Cricetulus griseus: one gene and its partners. The protein of the gene in region 5 purifies or fractionates together with the protein of the main gene of each other region. This does not show direct contact. Links are inferred from orthologs where the notes say so. Each region holds a gene or a part of one and is shown on either strand. Other genes may lie near its edges. The genes, in order: Cttnbp2, Strn4, Gcc2, Strn3, Zranb1, Strn and Map4k4.

Region 1 (4,475 bases), on a different chromosome or scaffold from region 5:
TAAGGCACTGAAAATAACCCAGGCTCCCGGCATGGATCACACTATTAATATGATCCTATTGAATAATGTAGCTGTTAGCCAGCTTTACACTCGAGGTGCTTTCAGGATTTAAACAGTGAAGAACAAGGATAACAAACTAAATTTAAAACACTCCACTGGAAATTATATTAAACTGCAAACTATAAATTAAACCAGTTCCTAAGCAACAATCTAAATAGAATTTTTAAAAAGCCCTCTAAAAACATGCACTTTCAAAAATAGCCAACTGCTTTGGAGGCTTCACTAGCTTGATTCTGCCAAATGTATATATAAAATTCCACAAGACGTAAACCAATTTGAAATGAAATAAATCTCTCTGAGGCAAAAAGAGAATTCCTCACTATAATTAAAAATATATATTAAGTCCTTTGTTGGCAAAATATAGTTTTAATTTTTAACCATTAGAAGAAGAACAAGTATGACAAACAGGATTTCTCTAATTAGCTTTTCTTTAATAATAATAATAATAATAATAATAATAATAATAATAATAATAATAATAAGTCAAAGCCAGGCAGGGTGGTGGTAAGGACTACTAACCCCAGCCTTCAGGAGGCAGAGAGATAGGAGAACCATGATTTCATGATAAGCTTTAGCTACATGTGATCCTCAAAATAATAAAAAAATGCCAGTTTACTCAAGTAGCTAACATAAGAGTCCCCATATTTCAAGTCCAACTACTTGTAAACAATGAAGTCCAGTTTTACTGAATAAAAAGCCACCACATTCTTTCTTAAAAGTAGACAGTTACTTCAAATACCTTAGCACTGTTACTGCAGATTTGAAGCCTAAGGGATCCCTTGGGAATAACGGAGGAGGTCCCAGTCGGTGAGATTTTGCCTGGCTATTCTCCCTCAACCAAAGCAGAACAATCAAGCTGCCAACTTAGCAGCCTTTGAATCGGGCTCCTGACAATTTTAAACAGCCGACAGCAACACTGACCTTGTTGGCACAGCAGTATTCCTGACGATGCAATTTTGTTTACAGTCTTACATATCATAAACTGCATGCTTTGTGTTGGTTTGCCTGGTGGCCGAAATATCTTGTGGGCACAAAGCTGTGTATTCCAAGTAGATTAAACAAACTATCCACCCTCCTGGGGGGAGAAGGAGCGCGACCCCCACACCTCCACTTTCCCCCTCATGGAGAACAGGACACTCAATAGTTTCAGCTTCCCAGAGGGACTTTTGCTTTGATAGCCATTTTCTTCGTTGTCCCCGACTCTCAGAATGAAAGTATTTCTCAAGTGGAAAGGTTTCATTTGAAATATCTTTAAAGTTCTTATTAGAAAAAAAAACCCGCTATTTTTCCCAAAACTTTAGCCCAGAGTCTTCTATTTTCACCAATGGGAATTAGTACCTGACCCCTCCTATTCTCCTCTCGCAGCTCTTGCCTCCAGGTACCTTCCTCCACACCCCTGCCTTCTCCTCCTAGCAAGCCCTCCCTCCAGAGGGGAGGGAATTAAACTGCCCAGGTTGTTTACACCTGGTCCTGCCCAGCCCGGGTCTGGGCTCTGGAGATGGGAGATACGGACCTGGGCGTCCATGCCAGGCTGCTCAGCTCCCTCGGTCCCACTCAGAATCTTCCGAGAGAGCTGCGGGATTTGGCCAAGACTGGGAGGCGCTCCTAGACCTGCCTTTCTTTGCACATCTTTGCCGCTCTGGCAAAAGCTGTTTCCCAGACCTGCGAACGTTTTCCAAGCTGGCTTTGTGGGTTGAGACCCCCCAAGCGGGGCACAGAGGGAGTGGGAACCACCGGGGAGCGTCTGTGCGTGCAGACAACTCAAGAGTACCAAAAAAGGGAGCAGGTAGGCGCCTAAGCAAGAGAGGACGCTAGGGAAAGGAACAATGTGTTGACACCAGGTTCGGAAACCCCAGCTCAGTGCCACTCCGCCTGGGGAAGAAGGTCCCTACCGATGACTGATGGAGCAGCAGGCAGCTAGGACCCAAAGTGCTGGCGCTCAGTTGCAGCAGCACCCACAGCTGGGCGCGGGGCCTCTCCCACGGGGCGTCCTCCCCCCCCCCCCGAGACACACGAACCCCCGCACACAAAGAGCATCTCCACACCTGCCTGGCGACGGACGGGTCGCCTTTCCCTCGCTGCTTCCCCAGGTCTCCCAAGAGGTGTCAGGCACCCCGAGACTAGCATTTGCTCGGTGCCTGGCGGAGCTGAACAATGGGGGTTGAGATCCTCCGTGAGCACCCCAGCAGTGGGCAAAGGGGTCCCCAAGGACGCATGCGGGGAGCTTCCAGAAGGACCGACGGGCTCCTAGCACCTCGGGGGCGGCGGGGGTAGCGTCGCGCTACTCGAATCCGCTTCTGGCCTTGGGGGCAGGCACCCCAGGGAAGGGACATCCGAAGGGCACACCCCGGGGGAAGGAAGGGGCATCCAGGAGAAGAGGCACACCAGGGAGGGGGCACCCCAGAAGGAAGGGGACACCCCTGGGAAGGTGTACCTCGGAGAAGGAAATGGAACCCCGAGGAAGTAAGGGGGCACTCCAGGGAAGCACCGGGCATCCCTCGGGGAGTGTCCGGCGGGGACCGGGGCACCACCCCCAGCCCGCATCTACACCGTTCCCGGAGCCCAGGGAACTCGGTTACCGCGGCCTCCGCCGTGGCCCCCGCCGGGTCGTCCGGGGCGCGGGACAAGTCGGGCTCGCAGCTCGCGCCGTCCGTCGCCATCTTCCTGCTCTAGCGGATCCGAATGCGAGCTCGGAGCAGCGGCGGGGCTCTGCTCTCGGCGCGGGCGGGCGGGCGGGCGGCGCTTAACCCGCTGCTGGCTGCGGCCGCGGCGCTCTCAGCCCCGGAGCCCGGCCGCCCCCTCCCGCCTCCCGCGCGCACCGCCCCTGCCGCTTAACCCTCTGCGCGCTGCAGACGCCGGCGCCCCGCCCACCCGCTAGCCTGCAGCAGCCGCTCCCAAGGGACCAAGAACCAGCAAGCAAGCGAGCCGCGTGGCTTTGAGCTGGTGTTGGGGAGACAAACACCCCAGGATGCAAAAGAAAATAAGCTTCCTTTCCGGAGGCGATGGGCTGACAAACTCTTGACTTAGCAGGACACAAACCGAACTGGATGTCAGGCCCTTGGATGCTAAATCTAAGATCTACGGTCGAGGAACCATCATCCCTCACTTCGACTAGCTCCATCGAGGTGCCTCTCTTAATATTTCCCAACTCTTGCCTTCTGAACACTTCTATCCTCTTGATTTATATACACCCAGCTTTTTTTTTTTAATCGCATCTTCGATGCTCACCCTCTAAAACGATCAACTTTCCGCTGAAAGTCTGTGCCTTGCTGTTTTTAAGCCCCTCAGCTAGGTGCCTTTCTGTTCGATTCTCTTTTTAAGGAAGGTGGAGACCCCCCCCCCAGGGGTCCATCCAGAAAAACCACCAAGTATCAGTGATGTCTTAATACTTTTGTGAGAACAGCAACTTCTCCGTGCAGGTGAAAACCCAAATATACACACACAAACCTTTGACAAAATGGTCGATTGGAAATGCATGGTTGGGGAGTTAGCACGAATGAGTTAGGCCAAGACACTTAACTTCCCCCATCCTGCCTCTAATTCCATTCTTACTTTTTCCTGCCAACTCCCAGAATCTGAAAATTTATCACCTTGCTGAGACCATATGGTAAGGAGGTCCCTAAAGTTCCAGGTCCCTAAAGATGTGTTGAAAGCACAAAATCAAATGGAGGCATTCAAACTGTCTCTGTGATGTCATCAAATCAGTCAAATCAACCGACAACCCAATCCCACACTTGAAATTCTGGAAGATGAATGACTGGAATGTTCAGTCCAAGTGCACAGATCAAAGCCTTTAAAACAAAACAAAACAACCTGCTCCTAATGAGAAGTTCTGACACCTTAACTGCTCAGCTTTCCAAACTGGATCCAAGTATGACACATCAGAGAAAACCTTTTCTACAAAGACACTGGAAAGAATTGGTCAGCAAAATCTAGAAAGTTTGCTCTCAAAAGAGAGGTCAAGGAAACTTCCACCTGAAACTCTGAGGTTAAGGGTCAGATTTTAGGAAGCAGATGGAGGTCATCCTGATTCAGGGCTTCCTTTGTTTATTCTCTGTGGCTTCACTCAGGTGGCCAGGCTCGGTTTGTACTCCTGTTCATCACACAACTCTCTTATTTAATCGAATATTCTCCTGAAATTGCTTAATATGAGACTCTCTAGATTTCTTGTAAGATAAAAGAAAAGCATTTGACAGTAAAAGGTTTTGAACTGATAGTAAATAATTAAAATTAGAAGCAATGATATTTCTTATTCTTTTCAAAACTCATTTTTGCACATCGTTCGGCCATCAATTTTCTTAATACTGATGTTGAGTTATTACTTGAAAAATTAGCTGGCACACTTCTAGGGAGACTCACGAGGATGAAATAATATATTTCATTTAGGACTTAGGAATGCGGTGTCTAAAATCCCT
Region 2 (3,869 bases), on a different chromosome or scaffold from region 5:
AAGGGTAGTAGCTTGGGTTACTGCTCACAGGGCTGTGGGGTAGAGTGCAGCCATGTCTGTAAGTGCCTTCTGTGAGTCACTAGCTCTTGCTAAGCACACAGCTGAGTGACAAGTGTGTGTTACCACTGTTAGTTTTATGCCCAGAGTGAAAATAGAAGGTTCTGTTCATCATCACCACCACCACCACCATTGCGTGTCTCTGAACACCTCCAGGGCTTGTGTTGTCTGACTTCTTGAGAGCCATGTGCTGGGGAGGGGCTCAGCAAAGCTGTGAGGAGAGAGGAGAGGGCCCAGTGCTGTGGTGGAGGAGGTCCCACAGCAGTTTCCAGATCTAGGCTTCGGGAAGTGAGCAGGTGGCTTGCCTTTTCCCAGGGACCAGCTGGAGTTGACCTCTGGACCCCATTCCTTCCCCCACTTGTTTCCCCACCCTAGCTCCCATCCAAGGCCCTGGTCCCTGAAATGGAGGGTGAGGATGAGGAAGATGACTCAGAAGATGCCATCAATGAGTTTGATTTCCTGGGCTCAGGAGAAGATGGTGAGGGATCTCCAGACCCTCGACGTTGTGCTGCAGAGGGGAACCCTCATGAGCTGGGTGAGTTGGGAACTGACTTACAGGCCTGGCTAAGACAGGATCCGACCCTGCATGCTTCAGCTGCTTCCTGTCTGGGGCTCTGCCCAGGCGGATATACTTCCTGAGGTGGGTCAAGGATAGCTCAAGCCGCAAGCCAGGTCCAGGCCCATACCCTTCCCTGGAAAGTCCCTGCAAACCGTATTCAAGTGGCCCTGCCAGAAGTCAGCTCCAGCCTTCACGGCAAGTGTCCAGTCCTGTCCAGCTCAAGCAGGGGACAGGATGAAAACTGATGGTGGAGAAGGGGGGTGGGGTTGTGTCTTCCTGTCTTGTGACTCCTGGCCAGAAGGGCCTTGGGGTCCCCTGGGCCTCGGGTAGAGTCAGGATTTGCCTGCCACCTCTCACTGGGTCCCTGCCAGTCTGTCTTTCCCGGGGTCAGTGCTTTACAGCCTCCACTGTTTATGGGAAGGCCAGCAGCACTGGGGTGGGCTTCTCCCCCCTCCCCTGCAAAGATTGGGGAGAATTGGTGGGTGATTCTTGCTCATGCCTCTTCCGTGCAGAAAGCCGTCGGGTCAAACTCCAGGGAATCCTTGCTGACCTCCGGGATGTGGATGGGCTGCCCCCCAAAGTGACTGTCCCACCTCCTGGCACACCCCAGCCCCGGCCTCATGAAGGTAATCTCCAGCCCCATACCCTAGTAACTTGGGGTCTGTGACAGAGGCGGGGGGCTGCAGAGCTAAGCCCGGGGTTTCTGTGTCCTGAGAGGTAAGGCCCAGTCTCCAGTCTGCAGCCTCCCTGTCCCAAAAGGTCGTCTGTCTGTCTGTTTCCCTCTCTTTTTGTCTGTCCTGCCCTGTCTGTCTGTCCGTCTGTCCCTGTCTTCCTTTCCAGCTGCAATTCTTGATCCTGTCTTCCTGCCTCTCTTATCCTTTCTGCCTCTCTCTGCCTCTCTCTCTCTTTCCCTGGCCCTGTCTGCCCCACCCACCCCTCCCCCCTACCAGGTTCCTTTGGCTTCTCCTCAGACGTCTTCATCATGGACACTATCGGGGGAGGGGAGGTGAGCCTGGGGGACTTGGCAGATCTCACCGTCACCAATGACAACGACCTCAGCTGTGATGTAAGTTCTTGGGGCGCCCCATCAGTTCTTGGCTCAGCTCTGACCATGTTGCAGGTCTGGGTTCTGTTCCTTTTATGTGAGGACTGTGAGAGGTCATTGTGTAGCCCCAGCAGGAGGCTTAACACACCCTGCCTTAGAGAGGGGTGTCTGGCAAACACCTCATTGAGGTGCAAGCTCTGGAAGGCACAGGGGTTTCTTCGTTCCTCCCTTTTTGGGGGGGTGGGGAAATGATTATCAGCCATGCTTCTCCAACTCAGGGTCTCTACTGTGAGTGGAACAGGGGCTGGGACGAAGGGGCCCGGTGACTGGCATTCTGTGCTGTGCACCTTGCACAGGTCACCGGGAATTTCTGGGTTAAGTTTGGGTGCGTTTTTCCAGGGCAGAAGATGAAGTGACTGACCCCAGTGAGATTGGAGGCTAGTGTAGAATGCAGAAGTGAGGCTAGCAGGAGTGTACTGCAGGGTTCCTCAGGCTGCCCCACGGTGCTGCAGGGAATGGGGAACCCACTTGAGCACAGATCCTCCAGTTCCTAAGAATCTTGGTAGAAATGCCAACTGAGCCCAGGTGACGGGGGTCTGAAGGTGCTGAGCTTCCCAAACCTGGCTGCCTCCTCGCAGTGAGTAGCTTCCCCTTGTAGGACACATGCTCAGAGCATCTCTCCTGGAGCCTGATGGGTCTGCTTCCCAGCCTCCCCTGCCAGGGAACTGTCTCAAGCTCCCCATTCAGGGCTTGTTCCTTAGGGCTCTATAGCCTGGAGACCTATCTGCAGTTACTCTGACCTTCCCCCAATCCCAGCCTCCTTAGAAAGGCTGAGACCTGCTGTCATCCCACTGTTCTGCAGCCCCGTGTGGCTTCTCATTTCTCCAGGGCCTTTGCTTGGGATGGAACAAATTGCGGGTTTCTGAGCGGGACCCGCTCTTCTGCCTGCCGTTGACCTCTCTAGCTTCCTCTCGTGTGGCCTGCTCCTAAATGTTGTGTATCCCAGCTTCCTGCCTCAGGGCCTTTGCACACGCAGCGTCTTTCTAAAGTCCCTTTCCCCTTGCCTGATGCTGGTTAAGTCCTGCTTGTTTGTCACTACCTCACAAGAGCCTCTTGGTCCCTGCAGAGGAAGCTAGACTGCCTTGGTGTCCCCTTCTCATGCTCAGAGTTCCTGGTTCTATGCATTTAGGACCTGTCTGTCTCCCTGAGGGGCCTCTGAACTGTGAGGCCCCAAAGAGTAAGGCTCGCTTGGCCCCTTCAGAATCCCATACTGCTGAAACCTGCTGAGTATGTGAAGGGCTCTTCTGGGCCTGCAGAAGGGAAGTCAGGCTGGGACTGGTCAGTTCCAGCCTGAAGGGGGTGGGTGGTGTCAGTGTCTGTACGAGTGCTGGGATATACAGGAGGACACTGAGGCAGCTTCCCATCCCCAGCTGTCTGACAGCAAAGACGCCTTCAAGAAGACATGGAACCCTAAGTTTACCCTCCGCTCACACTACGATGGCATCCGCTCCCTGGCCTTCCACCACAGCCAGTCAGCACTGCTCACTGCCTCTGAGGATGGCACACTTAAGCTGTGGAACCTTCAGAAGGCAGTTACAGCCAAGAAGTAAGGATGCCATCCTGGAAGGGGCGGGGCCCTGGGACCTGGGGTCTCAGTGACGAGATTCCTCCTTTTCCCACAGAAACGCTGCACTGGACGTGGAGCCCATTCATGCTTTCCGCGCTCACAGGTAGGGAGATAGATGCCTGAGCCTGTCTCAGTCCTGCACCCAGCAGCACGGCCGAGGCTGCTGCCTGCTTCCCTGGGGACCTGGAGCAGCAGTCGCCATCCTGGGCCCTCTGTGGTTTCACTGAGGCCCTTCTGAGCAGTAAAGTGAAAGGGTAGAAGACAGGCAGCTTTCCCAGGTGGCACAGCCAGAGTGTAGATGACAAATTACCTTTGGCATCCTTAAAAAATACCTAGGAAAGGAGACTGATGAGAGGGCTCAGTGGATAAAGATACCTCCTACTGAGCTTGACAACCTAAGTTTGCTCCCCAGGGTCCATGTGAAGAGAATCAACTCCAGAAAATTGTCCCCTGACCTCCGTGTGCACGTTGTGATATGTGACAATAAATAAATTAAACTTTTAAAAATAGCTAGGAGAGCTGGGCATGGTGGCGCATGCCTTTAATCCTAGCACAGGGGAGGCAGAGGCAGGTGGATCTCT
Region 3 (3,869 bases), on a different chromosome or scaffold from region 5:
CTTGCTATCACAGAAGCAAATGCCCACTTATGTGCCTTCTGTGTGATACAACTGTATTTCATTTTGGTTGTTTTCTGAGACAGGGTCTTATATATATTAGGTTTGCTCAAACTCATGATCTTGCATCTGCCTCCCAATTGCTGGGATTATAGGCTGGCACTATTACTCCTAGCTTTTTTGAAGTACTTTTAAAAAGTACTACTGGCAGATATACACTAAATATTAGTATGCTTTTATTTAAGCTACATATACTTAAATATTTACAAATAAACTGATTTGCTTTAAAATAATCCAGATCAAAGGTTTGCACATTTTTGTAACGGGCCAAGTAGTAAATATTTTGGCATAAGGCTACATAGTCCCTGTGGTGGTTCCTTAGGACACCGGTGTGGTGGGCTAATGAAACTGCAGGCCACATGTGACTGAAGGAGCCTAAGTGTGCTCTGTTTAACCCATATTCAGAAAGTAGCCAGTGAGCTGCGTTTTGATGAACCTGTCAGGGTGTGCTGGTAAGTGTTTGAGGTGGGTGATTGGCATTGTCAGATATGTTTGAAAAACCCTTCGTGAAGAGATAAAATTAATTTCTTCTAAGTTAGTAAGAAGAAAAAAATTGTCACTTGTGTGTCATGTTCACTAGTAAAAATCTCTTTATTTTCTTTCTGCTGAAATTACTTCCTGAACTAGCTTCCCTGCAGACTTCAGTACAGCACTCTGAAGAAAAAAACACCAAAATCAAACAGCTCCTTGTGAAAACCAAAAAGGAACTGGCAGATTCAAAGCAAGCAGTATGTTAATTTCTCACTACCATATTTTAGTTCTTACAGTTGTGAATTACTTTATTGTTTAATTTAACCAGGATTCTCATTCTATAGGAAGCTGATCACTTACTACTCCAAGCATCTTTAAAGGGTGAGCTGGAAGCAAGCCAACAGCAAGTAGAAGTCTATAAAGTAAGATTTTTAACTTTTGAAAAGTTTTTTCCATGTAGAAATAAAGTGCCATATAGATGGGCTGGAGAGCTGCTTCAGCAGTTCAGGGTACTGGCTGTTCTTTCAGGGGACCCAGGTTCAATTCCCAGCATCCACATGGTGGCTCACAACCATCTGGACCCCCTCTCCCACTCTGCCCCAGGGAATCTGATGTCTTGTGCTGGCCTTATGGTCATCAGGCACACATGTGGTACATATAGGTAAAACATCTGTACACATAAAAAAATAGTAACTTTGTTTTAAAAGAAAAATTACCTGTTAGAAATTTTTCTATTAGATAAGAAGTTACCCTTTAGGGATACTTAGAAAGATTACTCAACATTTTGAGGAAGCAGAAGCCGTGCTAAATGACTATCATGTATTTGAGAGTTTGTAATAGTCTAGAATAGTGAATATAAAATAAACATGGCCAGACCCTTTCCTCAGCTGCCGCCAAGGTACGTGGTTCTTCCGAAGAAGCTAAGGCCAAGTTGGGGTGAGGCCCTCACTTCATCTGGTGACTAGCACCTTGCCCGCGGTCTGAAACATGCCCTCATTAAAGCAGCCGGTGTCAATGTTGAACCTTTCTGGCCTGGCCAGTCTGCAAAGGCCTTGGCCATTGTCAACATTGGGAGCCTCATCTGCAATGTAGGGGCTGGTGGACCTGCTCCAATAGCTGGAGCCGTGCCAGCAGGTGGTCCTTCACCCTCCACCGTGCTGCCCCAGCTGAGGAGAAGAAAGTGGAAGCCAAGAAGGAAGAATATGGAGTCTGATGATGACATGGGCTTTGGTCTTTTTAACTAAGCCTCTTGTTAACGTGTCTAATAAAAAGATGAACCTGTAAAAAAAAATAAAATAAAATAAACATGGCCAAAAACTTCATCTGAATCTTCTGACTGAAAAATACAATTTTAAAAAGCAATATATGAGGTGGTCAAATATTTGGTTTTTTTTAATGTATAATGTCTAATGGTGTTTAATTAAACATTACGTATATAGTCTTTAATTGTGCAGATACTAGTTTAAGAGAAAAATAAATCAAGCTGAGATTGAGAAAGCATTATTCATGCTGTCTCTTTTTTTAAAGATATTGTAATGCCTGAAAACCACTATTTAGTTGTGCCATTTAATCTGTCTCCCCAGATTCAACTGGCTGAGATAACATCTGAGAAACACAAAATCCATGAGCACCTGAAGACTTCTGCAGAGCAGCACCAGCGCACACTGAGCGCATACCAGCAGAGGGTGGCGGCACTTCAGGAAGAGAGTCGTACTGCCAAGGTGTGTCCTCCAGGACCAAAACCACCACTGGGATTCTTACTGCAGGGCCACATTCACTTAGCAGTGTTCTGCAATTAAGAGCACTTAGCCAGATGCTCTAAACAACAGCATGGACACTCTCACATCTTTGGGTGTGGGGGGGGGTGAGTGTGAGCACACACATACCACCATGTATGTGGAGGTCAGGGGTCAATATTTAGGAGATGGTTCCGTCCCTTATTGAGACAATGTCTGTCTTGTTTCTGCTGCTGCACGTTGTACTCCAGGCCAGCTGGCCCCATGCGCTTCCCCGGTCTCTGTCTCCTGATTTGCCATCTGAGCACAGGGATGGGAAATGTATATTTTCTGATCTGGCTATTTTTAAACATGGGTTTCAGGGTTCAAACTCAGGTTTTTCAGGCTTGCACAGCTAGTATTTTTAACTGTTAGCCATCTCTCGGCTCTTAACAATATTTTTTTTTTCAGAAAGTAAAAACATGAGTACACTTACCTTTCATTTATGTTTTGTAATTTATATGTGTAAAAATGTCATATTTCTACACAGAGAAACCCTGTCTCAAAAAAAAACAACAATAAAAAAATGTCATATTTATTAAAAAGAAAAACAAAAAACTTAGGGAAAGCACTGCAGTTTTTTCTGAGGTTTAAATAATTGTGACATTCTAATAGAATGACTATCGGGTCAACTTCCCTGATTTCAGCATACAAAGCATTTAATTACTTACTGTGGGTTTGTTAGAATTCTCTCTTTTACCCTAAATGACCATGGCAGGAGTGTGGGAGTCTAAAGATCACTTCAGAAACACACAGTTTAACTCTCACTACTGTGTACTAAAAGTGAAGTTCAAGTGAATCATGTGTTTGAGAATCAGTTTTTCCTATTTATAAAAAGAACATGGCCAGGAGGTGGTAACTCACGCCTTTAATCCTAGCACTTGGGAGGCAAAGGCAGGTGGATTTCTGTGAGTTCCAGGCCAGCCTGGTCTAAAAAAGTGAGTTCCAAGTAGCCAGAATTGTTATAACAGAAAACTTTGTCTCGAAAAACCAGACAGACAGACAGACAGACAGACAGACAGAGGGAGAGGAGAGAAGAGAACATATAAGTTAAAAATTATAAAGTAATGAATGAAAACAGTGTCGTTATAAAATTTGTGAGTAATAAGTTAGTCTACTGTAGTAGAAGCATGAAGTTAGCAGTTTTAAAAGGGTCAGGCCAACAGGACTGGGTTCTGTTTTGATTAAGTCTAGTATTTGGAGGTTTTGTTTGTTGTTAGTTTTATGAGACAGGGACTTGTTCTATATCCCATACTGACCTGGAACTCAGAGTATAGACCAGGCTGGCCTCGAATTCATAACAGTCCTCCTGCCTCCACCTCCTGAGTGCTGAGATTGCAGGGTTGCGCTAGCATACCCATCCCTAGAACTCACTTTCTAGTAGAGTTAATCAAGGCTAAAATGGATAAAGCTGTTTTCTTCATTTTCACAAACAGAATTTTTTACTTCATTTCATCAGCCTCTGAAAGGACAGAGAAGGATCATGTCATAGTGACAGTTTTCTCTCTCTTAAATGTTATAGGCAGAACAAGCTGCTGTCACCTCTGAATTTGAGAGCTACAAAGT
Region 4 (4,501 bases), on a different chromosome or scaffold from region 5:
ACCCCAGGCCTTCGAAAGAGCTTCGCAATGTGCACATGAAAGGGTCCTGAGGACACGTATAAGGTATTTCTGAGTTTTTAGGACTGAATGACCAGCTGTATGCTGATGGTTATTAAGTGAAGAAACAGTACTCTAGTCATGTAAAGAAACTGTATTGTTAGCTAAGGCCTCATTTCATACATAAATACGGCAGTAAGAGTAAGTGTGACAGATCCAACCAGTTCTTCATTAATTATAACTATGCAGCAGACATGACAAAGTGTATTACTTTATCTCTGGAATTCCATCCTGAGTTGGCTCCATAGCAAAATATTTTATAGGCTTTCATAATGAAAATAAAACTTTAAAACGCAACCACTTTAATATGCAATTTCCTATATAGCTGTACATACGGCCTCTCTCTTCATCATGCTGTTAAATATTACTTTTGTCTTACTGTGCAAACAAATGGTTATTAGCTCTTTTCTTTTTCTTTTTCTTTTGCTGGCTGTTCTGGAAACCCATCAGTAGACCAGACTGGCCTCATGGGCTGCCATGTCTGGGAGCCAGGTTATCAGTTGTATTAGCTTTAAAAACTTGTGAATTCATAAGGATAATTCCTCTGAAGCCAAGCACAGAAAAACGCACCCCCTACTACTTAAAATCGACCTTTTGTGTGTGTATTATTTCACACACACACCACTTAACGATGAAGATACCGTTGTTGTTGATTTACTTCATTTTAAGTTGTATTCACAATACTCTTATTCTCTGTTTCAATCAGTATTTCTGCCACTAATGACAGTATCTGAGTCCATTCACTTCTAAACATCAGAGTCCATCTATGGGGGTCTTTGAAAGTTATCTTTTCCCGTCCACCCACCATTCTCAGTAATCACTACCTCTTCTATAGTAAAAGAATGAAACAATCTCTTAAACGCCCCAAAACACAACCCATCTCATAAAGACTGAAGACAAGTTACAACAGGCAGCCGGCAGCACTGAAGTGGGACCAAAGAAGCAGGTCGCGGCGGAGCCCAGGAACCAGTGAGAGAGTCGGAAGAAACTGGGGCATTTGCAAAAGGTGAACGTCCCCCTAAATCCTGGAGACTGACTGGTGCTAGGAAACCAGAGGTGAAGTGAGTGACAGGCAGAGGAAGAGAGAGGCTCGACCCTTTGGGTCTGAGCAAAACACGCTGGGAATTCTAGAGAAACGTCAGGCATTCCAGGGAGGTACGAAGCCGGACTCGAACCCAGCTGCTCCTGAGGGCGTCTGCGTTGAAGTTAACAACCCGCAAGCCCGAGCGAGGCCCGCGCGCCCCTCAAAGGCACGGCTACACACCGGGAGTCCACTGGGGCGAAGTAGGAAAGCAGGGGGCGGGCGCCCTGGCGGGGGCGGGGCCCGGGCTTTTCCCCGCCCAAAGAGCGGCGCGTCCTTGCCGCGCCTGCGTAGGGTGAGGCCGGACTCTATTTGGTTATCCGGCGTGCGGCCGCCGAGGCGCTCGCTACCCAGCGTGCCGTGCGGCGGCGGCGGCGGCGGCGGCGGCTGCGGCGGCGGCGGCCCTACGTCTCTCCTCCTCACCCGTCCCTCCCCTCCCTCTCTCCCTCCCTCCCTCCTCCCGCCGCGGCCCCCCTTTCCCCAAAGTGAGTGAGTGAGACGGGCAGATGGAGGAGGGACTGTAATGGCGGCGGCCGGCAGCTCCCTGCTCTGATCCGCGGCGAGCACACGGCGGCGACCCCCCTCCCCGGCCCTCTCCCGGCCGGCCCCCGCCCTGCCGTCGGCGCGGGGCCACCGTCCCGGTCCTCCCCGCAGCTGTCGGTGTCTCGCTCCGCGCCCCGGCCGGGGCCGCACACACAATGGACGAGCTGGCCGGCGGCGGCGGCGGCGGCCAGGGGATGGCGGCCCCTCCCCGGCCGCAGCAGGGACCCGGGGGGAACCTGAGCCTTCCGCCGGGAGCCAACGGAGCGCCGGGCGGCGGGGGTCCGGCGGCGGCCGCTGAGGCGGCGGCTCCCCCGGCAGGCCCCGAGCTGTCCCGGCCGCAGCAGTACACTATCCCGGGGATCCTGCACTACATCCAGCACGAGTGGGCTCGGTTCGAGATGGAGCGGGCGCACTGGGAGGTGGAGCGGGCCGAGCTGCAGGTACCTGGCCGGGGTCGAGTGCGGGCAGGGGCAGGGGCAGGGGCAGGGGCAGGGCAGGGGCAGGGGCAGGGGCGCGGCCCGGGGGTGGGGCCCGGCCGGGCTGGGGCCCGCGCCCTGAGGGCCGAGGGGACCTACCTGAGAGGCTCGCGCTGGCGAGCGGTGACCGCGTCCCCGGCCGGCGCCCCCTCCCCCGCTCCCGCAGCGGCCGGCTCCCTCCTCACAGGCAGCGCGCTGCGGGCATCCTCGGGGCAGCCATTTTGGCTTTTAGCATGGCGTCTGCGGGGCTCCTCCGGTGGCGCCTACTGGGCCTCCGGGCTTGGGCCCAGCGCCTGTGAGCGAGAGTCTGGCGTGGGCCCGCTGGGCACTGAGTTGGCGCTTGTTTGTCGTCCTCTTGAGGTCGAGGCGACGCGGAGAGGGCCCGGGCTGAGTGTCTGGCCTCCTGGCCCCGGCACCCCCTTCCGATGCGGCGTCCTGTCCCCACCCCCGCGCCGCGGTACGCAGTTGCCCCTTGACAGCCACGCCGCTTCGGGCTACTACCTCGCACAATGGCTTGCGGCCCGCCGGCGAAGTTTGCATTCCCACCCCCAACTTTTAAATACCCGGGATGCCGCTCTAGTCACTCGCCTTTCCTTCAGCGCCTAGTGATTCATCATCACCCTTAACTGGATTTTTCTCTTTTGAGTTGGTTTCTCTAGACTTTCCTTCTCACCGACTGCCTGGTTTTTACTCATGCAAAGCAGAGCTAGACTACCTGTACTGTATTTCTGGAATGTCTGCGGAAAGACTTGGTCTTAATTTGAAGGAAAACGTACTTTTTGTTTAGTACAAGCTAAGACGAAGTTGGGTGTCTGCTTAATGTGAACCTCGGAGAGGCTTGAGTTATCCTAACTTTTTGGAAGATAGTAGTTTCTCGGGCTTATGCCTTGAATTTTTAAAATTGCTGCATCTCTTTGAAAGGGTTGAGTTGTAGGTTAGATGTATTTAGTTTTAAGTTCCTTCCCAGGGTATAATTTAAACTTAGGAGAAAAAAAACATGCATCTAAACGTTGCACCTGTTTTTTAGACTTAGGAATTTCGGATGTAAGCAATATTGTCCGGTATTATACACACACATACAATACACCTTTGGTGAATTTAGGAAGAAGTAATGTTGAAAAGGGAAGATTGATTAATGTAGCAAAGGTGTTCTCAAACATGAGTCTTCAGTTTGGTTTTGAACCAGTAAACTTTTTGTTACATTAATTATAAAGAATTTCACTCAAAAATTAAAAATATCTGATGGCATATGTCTCTAGTCCCAGCACTCAGGAGGGAAAGACAGGTGATCTCTGTGAGTTCAGGCCACCCTGGTTTAAAGAGAGTTCCAGGACAACCAGAGCTACATAGAATCTGTCTCAAACAGAAAAGTAAAAGAAACATTAAAAATTAATATTGTTTCGCTGACAGAAGGATTGCAAGACAAGTGATTAAACCAGTGAGTTTTTGTTGTAGGTTTTTTAGTTTTGAGGTAGGGTTCCCCTCTGTGTCCCTGGCTGTCTTGGAACTCAACTCTGTAGACCATGCCTGACTGTGTTCCAAGTGATGGGATTAAAGGTGTGTGCTACCACCCCCAGCTGTGTGTGTTTGTGTTTATTTATTTATTTTTTTGGTTTTTCAAGACAGGGTTTCTCTGCATAGCTTTGAAGGCTATCCTGGCACTCGCTCTAGAGACCAGGCTGGCCTTGAACTCACAGAGATCCACCTGCCTCTGCCTCCCCAGTGCTGTGATCAAAGGCATGAACCACCACTTCTTGGTGTGGTTGTTTTTGAGTCTCTGTATTCTTGGGCGGCCTGGAACTCACTGTGTTGAACAGGCAGGTTTCCCTCTTAGAGATCTATCTGCTTTGCCACTTAAAAGCCGGGATTAAAGGTTTACACCTCACCCAGCAAGCCAGTAAACTTTTATTTTACTTCACAAAGTGGGTTAAGTTAAACTTAAATTTTTTTTTTACATATTTTATTTGACACCTTTAGTTGATTCGGTAGTCTTAAAATTGTGCTTAAGAATACTTTAGTGTTTAGAAAGTTGTGTTTTACAACTTTTAGAAAGCTTGTCAAAATTGAGTGTTTTTTTTTTTTTTTTAATTTGTAGAGTCTACTTTAATATTCTTGGATTTAGAGTTTTGTGGACATACAACTTTCTAGTACGGTGTGATGCCTGCTTAATGTTCCCTGTGGTTAGACTGAGGTTAAAGTATTCATTAAAAAAATGCATTGAGGCTTGTGCTTACTTGATAAACCATCAGTTCCCTATGTGGTGTTTGATCCTTGTACTGTTCATTTCCGTTGATTTTCAAATTAGCAGTTGAATTTGTCACTCAGTCATGGTTAATGTAAATAG
Region 5 (3,869 bases):
ATCCAGGGACTAAGTGCAAAAATGCACCTGCCCAAAGTCGAGTAAGAACCCCTTTTATAGGGCACTCTTCCAAACAAATATCTAAATAACAAAAGGGGCAATTCAGGAAACTTGAAAACAACAGAAACCAAAACCCTCTTCAAAACAAGACAATTTCTATGTAAAGTTCACTGCAAAAAAAAAAAAAAAAAATTGCTAGTTTTCCTTGCAGTTTGTTCCTAAGGATTTGATTTTTATTTTATTGGGCACAACAGGAACTAAATTATTAATAAAATAAAGGCTTGTTTATTTTTATCTTGCCGTGGATAATTTGTACAAAGTTTTCAAATCTCTGAAACAATGGAAAATGGATCTTTTATGGTGGGAGCAGGATATCAGGTTCTAATGAGAGTATCTCAACAAGGTTATCTGCCATGTGCTTTTTATGAGTGCCCATGCTGGGGAAATGTTCTCAATAACATGAAGATGCTGGTGCACTTTTCCTAGTACACGACTTCTTACACAACCACATGCGATACATTCATAGACAGATTTACAATTTGAAAGAAAAAAGTTCTATCAATAAAATTAGGGTTTGGTGTGGGTTTTTTTGTTTGTTTGTTTTTTTTCTTTTTTACAAACTGTAGTTCAAAGTTCTCCATCTCCTCATGCAGATGCACTCGTTATCTCCAGTGGGTGTGGAGCAGAAAGATACTTGGGAGCAGATCCTGCAGGGTGTGGCTCACTCCATGCTGTATGTTCTGCTGAAAATACCACACTAATTAATTTTGGGGTCATCTCAGATCTGATGCCTTGGTCTTTTTGCTCCTTAAGTGCGTTTGTTTTCATTCATCTTCCTCATCCTCATCTTCCTCTCCATCAGACAGGGATGTACAAGGCCGGATCTGTCTGTAGCGGTCAAGCCATTTTTCTACCATTTGTGTGACCAAGGGGTGATTTCTCCGACGCGAGCTTTTCTGCATTGCCACTAGAACTCCCCCTTCAGTCACACAGCAGTCCAGCCACTCTCTGAGCAGTTTCTCTTGCTGCTCCTCATTACCTAGCTTTTAGAGGAATATGAAGAAAAGAAAGTAACACAGCAGCAGGTCAGATGCTTGGCAGGAATAACCTGAAGCTGCTGTGAAAATGGAAAAGTAAAAGCAAACAACTGTTTCAACCTAACTACAACCTTTTGTCAGTTTCATCATTAAAAGCCAGGAGGGTTTTTTTTTTTTTTTTTTTTTTTTTTGTGGTCACAATTAAATGAGGAAATAACCTCTTCATAAAAACTGGGTAATTTACTTGACATAACCTTTACAGAAATTATGAGCTTCAGACATGACAAGGTAAGTTCCCTGGTTAAGTTTACATTTGGGCTAGAATTGTACAAGTCATGGTCTATGAACTATTTTTCTTGATGACTGTGTTTTGTGGTCATTACTAGAATATATAATAAAGAGCCAATAATTTTCTAAAACATAGGCTTTCTGGGTCTTCTTTTATATATCCTCACTGCCTGGTTTACACACTGCTGCCTCTCCATGTTTTTGGCATAAACTAAAGATCCAATCTCTTTCTGAACTTTCTAGCTCATTCAGAACCCTAAGGGCCATGCCCATGCCCTTTTTTTAACTCAGTCCCCTTACAATGCCTTAAAAAAAAAAAAAAAAAAAAAAAGGTGCAGGATAGAGCACACCTTTACCCCAGCCCTGGGGAGACTAACATGGTGGCACCCCTTTTACCTCTATTTAGGTCATAAATTCAATAACCAGCCTGCTGCCTTTTCAATTTTGAAAAGGTCAGTTTTCTCTGACTGGTGTGTGTGTGTGTGGGGGGTACTTGGACAGCTCCTATCACATACTAAAGATGCCACCACTTCTGGAAGGCACAGGAGGTTGGTTTCTGGGGTAACAAGACAACATGCTACTTACCTCCTGAGCAGAAAGGAAGTGCACGTGGAGGAGCTTCCTTTCACTGTCAACCAGAGGCAAAAATGTGATGGTGACATCATCATCAGTGTTCAGATTAGCACCAGCACCTCGGTTGCCATACCCATCATTCTCCATGGCAACCAAAGCAGAGAAGTGGCCCCTTGTATATCCCAGAGCAATTGGACTTTTCCAACAAAAACTCTGTTCCCACAACAAAGGCAGATAAACTCCTAGAAAAAAAGCACAAGAGCAAAAGGAGAAAGTACCTATCTACTACCCAAACCCCACCCCCACTGTTCTAACCTCCTGAAACCCAGCAGCTCCTCTGACCTTTTCCCCATAAGTAAGTGCTCTGAAGCTACAACTATATGGTCATAGTAAACAAAACTGCTAGAGGAATCTTGAGGAATGGCTTACCTTGAAACCGAGTATATCCTAATGTTTCTCCCCGGAAACTCTTATAATATTTTACTCCATAAACTATAATTGGTCGTCTAAGAATATGTGCGAGTACAAAAATGTGTGTCTGTTCCAAACTTGCTCCAGGCTGTACACACACACAAAAAGAAAAGACAATTTACCTTTAAAACATTTATTACCAGTACTGGAAAACTGCTGTGTAAAAACCAATATTATATCGAAAACCTTGGTAGAGAAACTGACTCCCCAAATGACAATGTCCAACAGAATTATAACAAAATCTCCCATGTCTTTACATAGGCATCATTCATATCCAAACTCACAGATGTAGAGAATCTCAGAAAAAAGTTCAGATAGCAAGGGACACTTCATAAAATGAGAAAGTCCTACATGCAACAAAGTTATCATGAAAACAGCTTTACTTTGCACAAAGTCAAATGGCAGTATTACCAAATTAGGTCCATCCTTCAACTATAGCCACTATAGACAACACATGGCCATGAAGTACATTATTTCATAAATTAGCCACCGTGAACACTGCACAAACTGTCCAAACATAAGGAACTTCCCTTCTCAAGGTTCAAATGAACCTGACTGAACAAATGGATATTTGTTCAGAGTAATCCAGACTGCCCTCTTCCCTTAACACATAAATGCAGTCATGAGGGCGTTAATATAAAGAATGTCAAATTCTTTCTCCAAGCCTTATAGCTCAGTTCCATCCTTTAATCTGGAGCTACTGTGAAGATAGGTAAAATGGGTGGAAAGCCTCCGGTATTAAGGAAGAACAAGCAGGAATCTGGACTATACCATGCTTAAAAGCTATCATTAGATCTTTTGTTTTTGACAAATTTGACAGCAATTACCCTGAATTAAGCAACAGTTCTGCAGTGATAAAGCACCTTTCCTTCTCATTCATACTGCTTTCAGCATGTTCTGATCAAACAGACTGAAGAAACTAAGAGCATGTAGATTTCCTCTTTAAAAAAGAAAGAAAAAAATATTGATACAACCTTACCTGACTAGCTAGTGAGAGAATAAATGCCCAGTCTTCTTGCCATTGTTCTTCCCTCAGTGAAAAATGTAAACCAAAGCTCTGGGAATACCACGATTCCCAGTCTTTCCATCGTGTGTAAAACCTAGCAAGCAAATGGCAAAGGAAATGATAAGCAAGCTTTGAACCAGCAATACACTGCTACAAGTGTTTAGTTTAGTTTTGTTTTTATTTTTTTTTTAAGATGTATCTATTATGTACGTAGTGTATGCCTGCACTCCAAAAGAGGGCACCAGATCTTATTATAGATTGTTGTGAACAACCTTATAGTTGCTGTGAATTGAACTCAAGCCCTCTGGAAGAACAGCCAATGCTCTTAACCTCTGAGCCCTATATGTTTTTTTTGTTTGCTTGCTTGTTTTGGTTTTGGGCTTTTTTTGGGGGGGGTCAATTTCTGTCAAGAAATCAATGCCCACGTTCTGGAAAAAGACATCTTTTAGCATATCTCCACAAGAATAAAATTTACCACCCATCTAATTAACTAA
Region 6 (3,869 bases), on a different chromosome or scaffold from region 5:
TGAGTGTATAAATTTTAAGGCTTTTTTTTTTTTTTTTTAACGCACCAACATTGTTGCTTAACATTTCAGTGTATGTATAATTCTTAAAAACAGCATTTGAGGGGCTGGAGAGATGGCTCAGTGGTCAGGAGCACATACTATTCTTCCTGAGGACCTGAGTTCAGTTCCCAATGCCCACATCAGGTGGCTCACAGCTGCCTTAACCCCAGCTCCAGGGTGTCTCACACCTCTGACCTCAGTGACCTTCATTCATGTGCACATACCACACAAACATACACACACAATTGAAATAATAAAAAAACTCAGCATTTGATGAGAAGATGGGGTTTACATTTTAAAAAGTGAGACGTAATTTATTTTCCTTGAAGATTGAGGGCATCAAGGATGTGTTCTGATGCGTGAGGTGAACTGGTGCAGTCCTGGCGCTGGTATCAGTCTGGAGTGGGACCATCTCTTCCCTTCCCTGGGCTGCTTTGTGACCTTAGTCAGTCCCTGTTACATATCCCAGCTAGCGGCACCTGTTGTCAAGATCACTTTCATCATAGATTAGTTTTGTCTATTCTCACCTATAATAAAATAGCAGTTTAGGATGTTATCTCTGTGCCTGGCTTTTATTCTACTGTAACGTTTGTGCAGTTCAGTGTCAGTTGATTTCCCTTTATTATGTGAGAGTATTGTATTAAGCTATGGTCTGTCTATTCATGTATCTCCTGATAGACACCGAGGCTGTTATGAGCAAAATTGTTATAAAAAGTCATAATTTCCACGACCTATTCATTTATCTGGTAGTATTTACTGTTGTTCCAGTGTGGGCCTATTAGGAATAATTTATTATGAAGGTTCATAAATTTTCATCATGGGTAGTAGAGACCTTTCAGTAGACTTGTTGGGTTTTAGGGTGGGTGTTTTGTTGTTAAGTGAAATGACCACATTGTTCCCAGAGTGCTCATGGCACTTTATAACCTGGGCTGCAGCCTGTGTGAGGTCAGTTTGCTCTGCATCCTCACTCAGTCTTGATGTTGTCACTCTGGTTCCCTTCTGTTTCAGTGTTTAATTCTTTGACAGCATATTTGGTTGAGTACCATTTCTTGCTTTTCATTGACTATTCCTAGAACTTCTGCTGTACAGTTTTGAATCATTACCTTGCTTTGGTTAGGTGTTGACCCAAATGAAACATTATTTTATTTTTATATTTATCATTCTGTTTGTTTGTTTTCTTGTGACAGTGCCTCACTATGTAGCTCTGGTTCACCTTGAATTCATTGCCCAGGCAGACCTCAAATTCACAATCCTTGGGCTTCCACTTCCAAGTGCTTGGATTTAAGGAGTATGCTACCACACTGGCTTTATCATTCTGTTTTTGGTATAAATGAGTTCCAAGTTTGTCCCCTGATGATAACTTTTCGTGTTTGTGTGGTGATTTGCATGCTAGACAAATATTCCACCATTGAGTTACATTCCAGGCCCAGAACAACTTTATTCTTCAGCAAAGTCACAATGTGCACTTAGACTTTGAAGACATAACTCTGTGCTAGCAAGCACAGTACCACTGAGCTGCACTCCAACCTAAGTTTGGATTTGTTATTGTTGTTTTCTTTTCTTCAAGATGGATTTTTAAAATACTGAATTTCCACTGTGTTACTCTATGCTTGAAATGGAAGTGGAAGCTATAAAACTTATGGTCCATGTGTTTTATTTTCTTTCAAAATAAGTTTGCATTCTTTGAGTGGATTAGCAGAATAATGGGTAGAAAACATTTAACAGGTAAGGATAATAAAATAGACTAAGGCTAAAAGTTAGAAAAGAAATACTCTTCTGTGAACAGTTCTAAAATAACTTATTCTGATGTTAAGCCTGATTGATTAAAGTAAATCATGCTTAGTTTTGTTTTGCTGCATTTTGAGTACTTTCTCAAGTAGACCTTTTAACTGTCATCCTCTCTGAATATTTCTGACACTTAGAACTGGGAATCCCTGCTTCGGTGGATCTCGTGAGCAGTGACCCGAGCCATATGGTAGCATCATTCAGCAAAGGGTATACAAGCATCTTTAACATGGAGACACAGCAGCGAATCCTCACTTTAGAATCCAAGATAGACTCAAGTATGTATACCAATCTTTAAAAGTCTCTCTATTTGTTCTTAATCAAAAGTGTAACTGCCCAAGTCGATGTGAAGAATGATTAAATCATAGTGTTCTATTGCCCAAACCTAAAGACACTTTTACTTTATAGAAAACTTTTTTGGGGGGGAAGGGGTAAACTTCAGCACAGTCTAAAGCAATCAAAACAAACAACAGAAAAACTGCACCCAAAGAATTTATTCCATGTGGCCACCTGGCATTTTCTGTTGTATATTGAAATAACTATAAATTACTATAGTAATTAATATCTTCAAAAATTCTTAGATAGTGTACAACAATTAATTAGTATGCTTAAAAACTCAAAATCTGGTGGGTTGCAAGATGATGGTCTTTTCTATTATGATGCAAAGAGGAACAAGTAAGGAGGCAAAGCCCTTGATTTCATGATATATTTAGATCACAGCTACCTGAACAGAGCTGCATGTTAGAAGGGACTGAGGTTTAACTTTGAAGATTATTTGTATATTGGTGGTGTTTGGTTTTGTTTTGGGAAAGGATCTCACTGAATCTCTGGCTGGCCTGAAACTCACAATGAAGATGAGGCAGGCTGCTCTCGAACTCATAGAGATCCACCTGCCTCTGCCTCCCAAGTGCTGGTACTAAAGGTGTGCACCACCAATGCCCTGCTGATAGAATTCTTTAAGGTAGCAAACATCACAAAACGTGTAGACTTGGATGTCATCCGTGTCTCTAGGCCAAGTCTTAGATGGAATTCATGCATAGCAGGTGGTGGAAAGGAACTCTGACATTTAATTACCTATAAATATGCCAGTGTGATGTACCTTAGGCAGCTCTTATTTTACAGCACTGAGGTTGGAGAAATAATTGGAGAATAACTGCACCACAGCCAGACTAGGGTTTCATTGGTTTTTTTTTTTTTTTTTCTGTTTTAGTATTTATATCTCCTTTATATGAAAAAAACTACTTTGACTAATTAGTACTGATTTTTAATTTTCTGTTTTTAGCAGCCAATTCTTCCTGCCAAATAAACAGAGTCATCAGCCATCCCACTCTTCCAATCAGCATCACTGCTCACGAAGACAGGCACATCAAGTTCTATGATAACAATACAGGTAAGAGCTTGCTAAGGTTTTGCATCTGATGAAGCAAAACCAACAACAGCAACAAGAAACTAAAACAGCAATAAACACCTAAGTAAGCTAATTATGGTGTCTAATGGGAGCTTTGTAGTTACAGAGTAGGCACTGAAACACTTTCTTCACTCAGTTTCTGTTCATTTCATTCATATCGGCTAAGACTAATATGGAATGGGTTTTTTTTTATTTTGTTTAATAGTAAGCAGATAGTCTAAAGCCACAAATCTGAGTACTAATAAAAATGATCTGTTGCAATCATAAGGAGTGAGTATTAATAGAAACATGTTGGAAGCAGAGGTTGGTAACTATGTTTTGTTTTAAATTGTTCAGTTATTGAATAGCTGTATTCTGTTGTTCAGTCGTAAATAGCTTGATTCAGTGTTGCATATGAAAATCCTTAGGTCATTTGTTTTGTGTGTTTTTCCATAGGTTAATCTTTTCTGTGTTATACTAAAATTTGAGTCCTGACTGAACTGGGGCATGAGGCTTTCCCGGTTGTCAGTGGAAGTACACAAATAGCAAACTGCAGGGAAGAGCTTTGTATGAGCAGCCATGATTCTTTGGCTATCTGCCGTTTTAATATGGTCACTTGTGGTTGTGTTTAGTTGCTAGCAGTTTCATTTTTAAAATT
Region 7 (4,604 bases), on a different chromosome or scaffold from region 5:
CAGGGGAGTGCTAAACATTCTCCGGGCACAGCTGACTTGAACTTTGGGTATAGGCCGGTCTAGAGAGCATCCCCACTCCTTTTCTACACTAGGCTCTTAATGGGCTTGTGTAAAACCCTTCTAGTATTTTTTCTTTTTTTAACTCTGAGGTTATAATGTGGCTACTGCTTAACTTAGAACAGTTCATGAGTGTGTGGGGAGGGAAGTAGGTGCAGAATTGCTAGTAACAATAGCTGCCCATGTCTGTGAAGCTTAGCTAAGGAACACCTCGGATTTTGATATTGGTGGCACTGTGGAAGACCAAGCTTAGCTTCATCGGCTAACTTGTCCCTTTCCAGGCCTCTTGCATGTGGGAGTCAATCCTCAAATCAGCTTCTTTGCAATACTACCTGGTCATTCTGGGGTACTCCAGAGAACACCCGTTGTAAGCTAACAGGGAGCCACCAAACACGCTTTTGGCTGGTCCGGAAATGTGATGAAGATGACTTAATGAAACAGTATTTAAACTGGCTAGCTGACTTGCTTTCCATTGTGCTGGGAGAAGCCTGTTTGGTGACCCGTGGTGATCTCCAGGTACTAAGCACTGTCCCGGCCCTGAGATCCTAAACAGAGGGCACACCGGCCACACATTGTCAGGAACACAGCAACAAGCAATTACAGGGGCTGTTTGGGATTCGGCCGGGCAGTCAAGTGATGCTCAGCGAATCCTCCAACTGCAACCATGCCACAAATTGAGCCTGGGAAAGAGAAAGGAAAGGAAAACCCTGTGGGGGAAAGGGAAACCAGGGGCTCCGGGACCCACAGGCGGTAGGCGGCGGCGGGGACCTGGGGAGAGGTGGGTGGGGACCGAGGCAGGTCCTCTAGCCCGCTCGGGCACACCCTTTCCCCGGCGCGGCCCGCGGGGCTCCCCCGTGTTCTTCATTCATTGTTAGCGGAGGCAGGGGCGTTCCCTCGAGTCCCGCACCTCCTCCGGGAAGGCCCCGAGGACTCCCAGCCCCACCCTGGGCCCGGCCGCCATCCCGCGGAGGGGCCGGCGCCCCGCCATTGTTCGAGCCCCACCCCTGCTGAATATTCACGCGGCGCGGGCGCGGGCGAGGGCTAGAGCCGGGTTCCGCCCGCCGCCGCCCGCCCGCCGCTTGCTTTCCCGGCGGAGGAGGAGGAGGAGGACGAGGAGGCGGGGGGAGCCGCTCGCTCCTCCTCAGAAGCGCCGGTCGGTGCCCCGCGTCCCGCCCCGCCCCCGCCTCCCGCGGCATCTTTGTCTCGCGGCCTCGAGCTCGCTCGCCGCACTCTCCGGCGGCGCCGCGGCCCCAGCTCCGGGCCGCTCCTCCAAGGCGGGCGGCGCGGCAGCGCGCGCGCGGGCGAGCGGGCGCCGGGGCCGAGGCGGCGGGAGACGCCCGGGGCTGGGGTGGGTGGGGGGCTGACGGCCGCCGCGCCATGGTGTGAGCCCGCGCCCGCGCTCGCTGCGCTCCGAGGAGACGCCGCGCCCTCCGCCGCCGCCGCCGCCGCCGCCCGCCGGCGGCCTTGCCCGTACGGCCCGTGCCCCGGCGCCGCGGAGCTCCTGACCGCCGCGGCTTGTCGCTCCCGTCTCGGGGCGGCGACCGGGGAAGATGGCGAACGATTCGCCCGCGAAGAGTCTGGTGGATATCGACCTCTCGTCCCTGCGGGTGAGTGTGGCCGCGCCCTGGTGGACACGGCCGCGGACACCCGCGGGCGCGGCGGCCCCTTTGTCTGCCGGGCGGTGCGGGCGGGTGTGGGACTCGGGCGCGACTCATCGCGGCGCTCCTGGCCGGCGGGGACCCGGCGGGGCCAGAGCCTTTGTCACCGCCCTGCATCCCTCCGCCCCTCTCTGTCTCTTCATTTGGGGGCCCCCTTTTTAAATGATCATCTCCCCCTCGTGTCTCTCCAGGACCCTGCTGGGATTTTTGAGCTGGTGGAAGTGGTTGGAAATGGCACCTATGGACAAGTCTATAAGGTCGGTGTGGGGGCGCCTTTGTTCCCCGTGGCGTGGAGAAACTTCTTAGGGGACGAGGGAAAGGGTGGCAAGACGCTGCTGACTGGAGGCCATGCCGCCTGGCCAAAGTTGGGAAAGGGGTTTCGCCTGGCTTTTTTTTTTTTCTTTTTTTTTTTTTTTTTTTTTTTTTGCCGACTGTGTTCAGACTGGCCTTAAAGGACCTCATTTCCTGGCTTTGAGATAAAGGAAATAAGCTACACTGTTAGGCATGCACTTTGCTGCAGCAAAATAGAAAAGGAATTTTGAGTTCAAAGATGACCAGAGGGTCTCCCCCCTCACCCCACCTCCCCTTTCTCCAAATCTGACCTCCGTGCGTTTGCATTTGTTTGTGAATTAAAATTTAGTGTAGATAGGCCTTGTCTGTGATTACCAACTGGCTTGGTCTTCTTGAGAATTGTCATCATGCTTCTTGCCTAAGAGCGTTTGCCAGAGGACTTAACGTGGGGAGTTTGGTGTTACCTGGGACTGCTTTTAAAGCTTTGGCCAGCCTACCCTCTTCTGGTGGACAGTATTTTGGGGGAAGCCGGAGGAGTGTGTGTTTGGGTCACAGGAGCAGGAAGAATTACAGTGTGGGGATTATAAAATCTGAATTCCAGGAATAACCTGTGTAACAGCTGTGTAATTGAGATAGCGAGGAAGGAGGAGCAGAGAGGGTGCCAGGTTTCACACCCACCACCCCAGGTCCTTCTCTTTCTTTACATTTGCCCTCCTCGCCCAGCTACAAATGAAACTAAGCATTCTGGAGCCTGGTTAGTCTGTGCTGGGTAGCTGGTGCCTAATGTGACTTTAACTGTGTTGCTCATTCTGTTGAGTTGTTGCATGTATATTCTAGAAGGACGCTCAGGCTCCAAAATGAAAAAAGAAAAGGAAAGAAAAAGAACTTTATCTTTCTTGATTTCTTTCTTGTTACCAAAAGTTTTCTGGAAGCTGTCTTTGCTGGGGGAGTTCTCTAGTTGTTAGGACTGGGTCAAGGTTGAGCTACAGAAGATTATTTTATGAAGGAGGGCTTTGTGGCTCACCATGAAGAATTGTGATTGTTTCACTAAAAATGGGGGTGGTGGTGGAAGCTGACTGTAGACATTTTCTGAGGCCAAATTAAGTGTGGATTCTATTATCCCTTTTCTGTTTTATGAATAGGGTTTGTGTGTTCCTGATTGCTTCTCCCAGCTTTAGAATCCCCCTTCTCCCACCCTGGGACCTGGATGATGGTATTGACAGGCTTGTGGTCTGAACTTGAGTCAGTATTCTTAGGTGATCTCAAGTGAATTAGCTTGTTTTGTTGGTTAACTTTTGGGGTCCAGGCCAGATTTTTGAATTTGAAAGGCAGCCCTGTTAACAGGGCTGCTGGGCTCAAACTGAATTTGGAAGGCTTTGGAAAATTTTGGAAAAGATTGTGTTGCAACTCTCTGAGTGGCTTAAAGACATTCTTCCCAGCTCCAGTGTTTGTTTAAGCACTGGTTGGTTTTTTTCTAACCCAGTTTCTCTGGCCAAATCTAAGTGGTGAGTAGACTCTTCCAAGTGAGTTAGCCAGAGCTTGTTTTTGACCTGGTTACACAGTAGTTGGATTGTTTGTGTCTCCCTGGGTCAGCGTGGAAACTGTGGGTAGTGAAGTAAGCTGGAAGGCACTGGTGAATTTTAAAAGGCCAGCATGAATAAAAAAGGTTTTAAGAGGTGGGCACTTGGTGGTGTGAACTTGGGCAGGTTCTTTGTTGTTTCTCCTCCTCTTTTCTTTGGCCCCACCCTTCCTACCCCAAGGCTTTGCTAAGCATTGCTTTTGGGGAGTGCTAGGGATACATTCCCTAGTGTTCTTGGACTACACACTGTGCAGATGAAGCATCTTCTATGCAAATCTAAGGAATCAAGTTGCATGTTTTTATAGCTTAGTTTAATAGCACCATTGATTTTTGTTTCATATATAGTCTTCTTCCTTTCCTTTTCTTTGAACTTAAGATAACACTTGATTGATAAATACTAAAGTATTTCCTCCTTTTTAAACATTATCACAGCGTTATTCCATACTTGGAAACTCATCAGGTTTTCTTTAGTGTGCCATGCTTGCCCCAGTCCTTGCCACTAGCAGGTTTATGAACAGGTAACATCTCCTAGAAATGGCATCTGTTTCCCTTTAAGTATATAATTTTTAGATCCAGTACTGTTGTACAGAATGATTTATTTATTTATTTGTTTATTTTTAGCTGCTTGGCATGGAGTGGTTTTGGGATTAGGTTATTAATAGTAGAATTTATTATAATTTATAAAGAAAAATTTTAAGAAAAACATTTTTTAGGGAAAACATTAGCCGAACAACCTAGAGTTCTAATTTATTTCAGTATTGTATTTTCTATTTATATATATGCATATATTTTTATACATACATAATACATACATACATATACATACACATATATGTACATACACATACACATATATGTATATATATGCATGTGTGAATGTCTGTGTGTGTATACCCCCATGTATGGTATGTATGTGGGTGGCATATGGAGGCCTGAGGTTAATGTCAGGTGTCTTCCTTGATTATTTTCTGCCTTATATATTGTGGTAGAATCTCCACTTAAACCCAGAGTTTGCCAAT

Evidence for each region.
Region 1: the proteins of Zranb1 (region 5) and Cttnbp2 purify together in Homo sapiens (affinity purification with mass spectrometry; 3 studies listed by BioGRID and IntAct, with this or other methods). This does not show direct contact. The link is inferred for Cricetulus griseus from reciprocal best matches to the Homo sapiens genes ZRANB1 and CTTNBP2.
Region 2: the proteins of Zranb1 (region 5) and Strn4 purify together in Homo sapiens (affinity purification with mass spectrometry; 4 studies listed by BioGRID and IntAct, with this or other methods). This does not show direct contact. The link is inferred for Cricetulus griseus from reciprocal best matches to the Homo sapiens genes ZRANB1 and STRN4.
Region 3: the proteins of Zranb1 (region 5) and Gcc2 purify together in Homo sapiens (affinity purification with mass spectrometry; 3 studies listed by BioGRID and IntAct, with this or other methods). This does not show direct contact. The link is inferred for Cricetulus griseus from reciprocal best matches to the Homo sapiens genes ZRANB1 and GCC2.
Region 4: the proteins of Zranb1 (region 5) and Strn3 purify together in Homo sapiens (affinity purification with mass spectrometry; 4 studies listed by BioGRID and IntAct, with this or other methods). This does not show direct contact. The link is inferred for Cricetulus griseus from reciprocal best matches to the Homo sapiens genes ZRANB1 and STRN3.
Region 6: the proteins of Zranb1 (region 5) and Strn purify together in Homo sapiens (affinity purification with mass spectrometry; 4 studies listed by BioGRID and IntAct, with this or other methods). This does not show direct contact. The link is inferred for Cricetulus griseus from reciprocal best matches to the Homo sapiens genes ZRANB1 and STRN.
Region 7: the proteins of Zranb1 (region 5) and Map4k4 purify together in Homo sapiens (affinity purification with mass spectrometry; 3 studies listed by BioGRID and IntAct, with this or other methods). This does not show direct contact. The link is inferred for Cricetulus griseus from reciprocal best matches to the Homo sapiens genes ZRANB1 and MAP4K4.

Annotation. Positions count from the first base shown.
Region 1 is NW_023276806.1:208,097,024-208,101,498, reverse strand, and holds the start of Cttnbp2 (cortactin-binding protein 2), read right to left. Parts: upstream 2,830-4,475; 5' UTR 2,721-2,829; coding exon 2,640-2,720; intron 1-2,639. UniProt on the Homo sapiens protein: Regulates the dendritic spine distribution of CTTN/cortactin in hippocampal neurons, and thus controls dendritic spinogenesis and dendritic spine maintenance.
Region 2 is NC_048602.1:11,461,608-11,465,476, forward strand, and holds part of Strn4 (striatin-4), read left to right. Parts: intron 1-432; coding exon 433-592; intron 593-1,128; coding exon 1,129-1,242; intron 1,243-1,566; coding exon 1,567-1,682; intron 1,683-3,091; coding exon 3,092-3,267; intron 3,268-3,343; coding exon 3,344-3,391; intron 3,392-3,869. UniProt on the Homo sapiens protein: Calmodulin-binding scaffolding protein which is the center of the striatin-interacting phosphatase and kinase (STRIPAK) complexes.
Region 3 is NW_023276807.1:2,796,109-2,799,977, reverse strand, and holds part of Gcc2 (GRIP and coiled-coil domain-containing protein 2), read left to right. Parts: intron 1-684; coding exon 685-785; intron 786-872; coding exon 873-950; intron 951-2,111; coding exon 2,112-2,249; intron 2,250-3,825; coding exon 3,826-3,869. UniProt on the Homo sapiens protein: Golgin which probably tethers transport vesicles to the trans-Golgi network (TGN) and regulates vesicular transport between the endosomes and the Golgi.
Region 4 is NC_048598.1:150,592,255-150,596,755, forward strand, and holds the start of Strn3 (striatin-3), read left to right. Parts: upstream 1-1,600; 5' UTR 1,601-1,836; coding exon 1,837-2,121; intron 2,122-2,256; exon of another isoform or gene 2,257-2,577; intron 2,578-4,501. UniProt on the Homo sapiens protein: Calmodulin-binding scaffolding protein which is the center of the striatin-interacting phosphatase and kinase (STRIPAK) complexes.
Region 5 is NC_048596.1:67,857,052-67,860,920, forward strand, and holds part of Zranb1 (ubiquitin thioesterase ZRANB1), read right to left. Parts: intron 3,470-3,869; coding exon 3,349-3,469; intron 2,458-3,348; coding exon 2,328-2,457; intron 2,141-2,327; coding exon 1,911-2,140; intron 1,044-1,910; coding exon 825-1,043; 3' UTR 1-824. UniProt on the Homo sapiens protein: Ubiquitin thioesterase, which specifically hydrolyzes 'Lys-29'-linked and 'Lys-33'-linked diubiquitin. Also cleaves 'Lys-63'-linked chains, but with 40-fold less efficiency compared to 'Lys-29'-linked ones.
Region 6 is NC_048600.1:5,374,570-5,378,438, forward strand, and holds part of Strn (striatin), read left to right. Parts: intron 1-1,961; coding exon 1,962-2,102; intron 2,103-3,106; coding exon 3,107-3,214; intron 3,215-3,869. UniProt on the Homo sapiens protein: Calmodulin-binding scaffolding protein which is the center of the striatin-interacting phosphatase and kinase (STRIPAK) complexes.
Region 7 is NW_023276807.1:8,322,336-8,326,939, reverse strand, and holds the start of Map4k4 (mitogen-activated protein kinase kinase kinase kinase 4), read left to right. Parts: upstream 1-1,483; 5' UTR 1,484-1,607; coding exon 1,608-1,664; intron 1,665-1,906; coding exon 1,907-1,972; intron 1,973-4,604.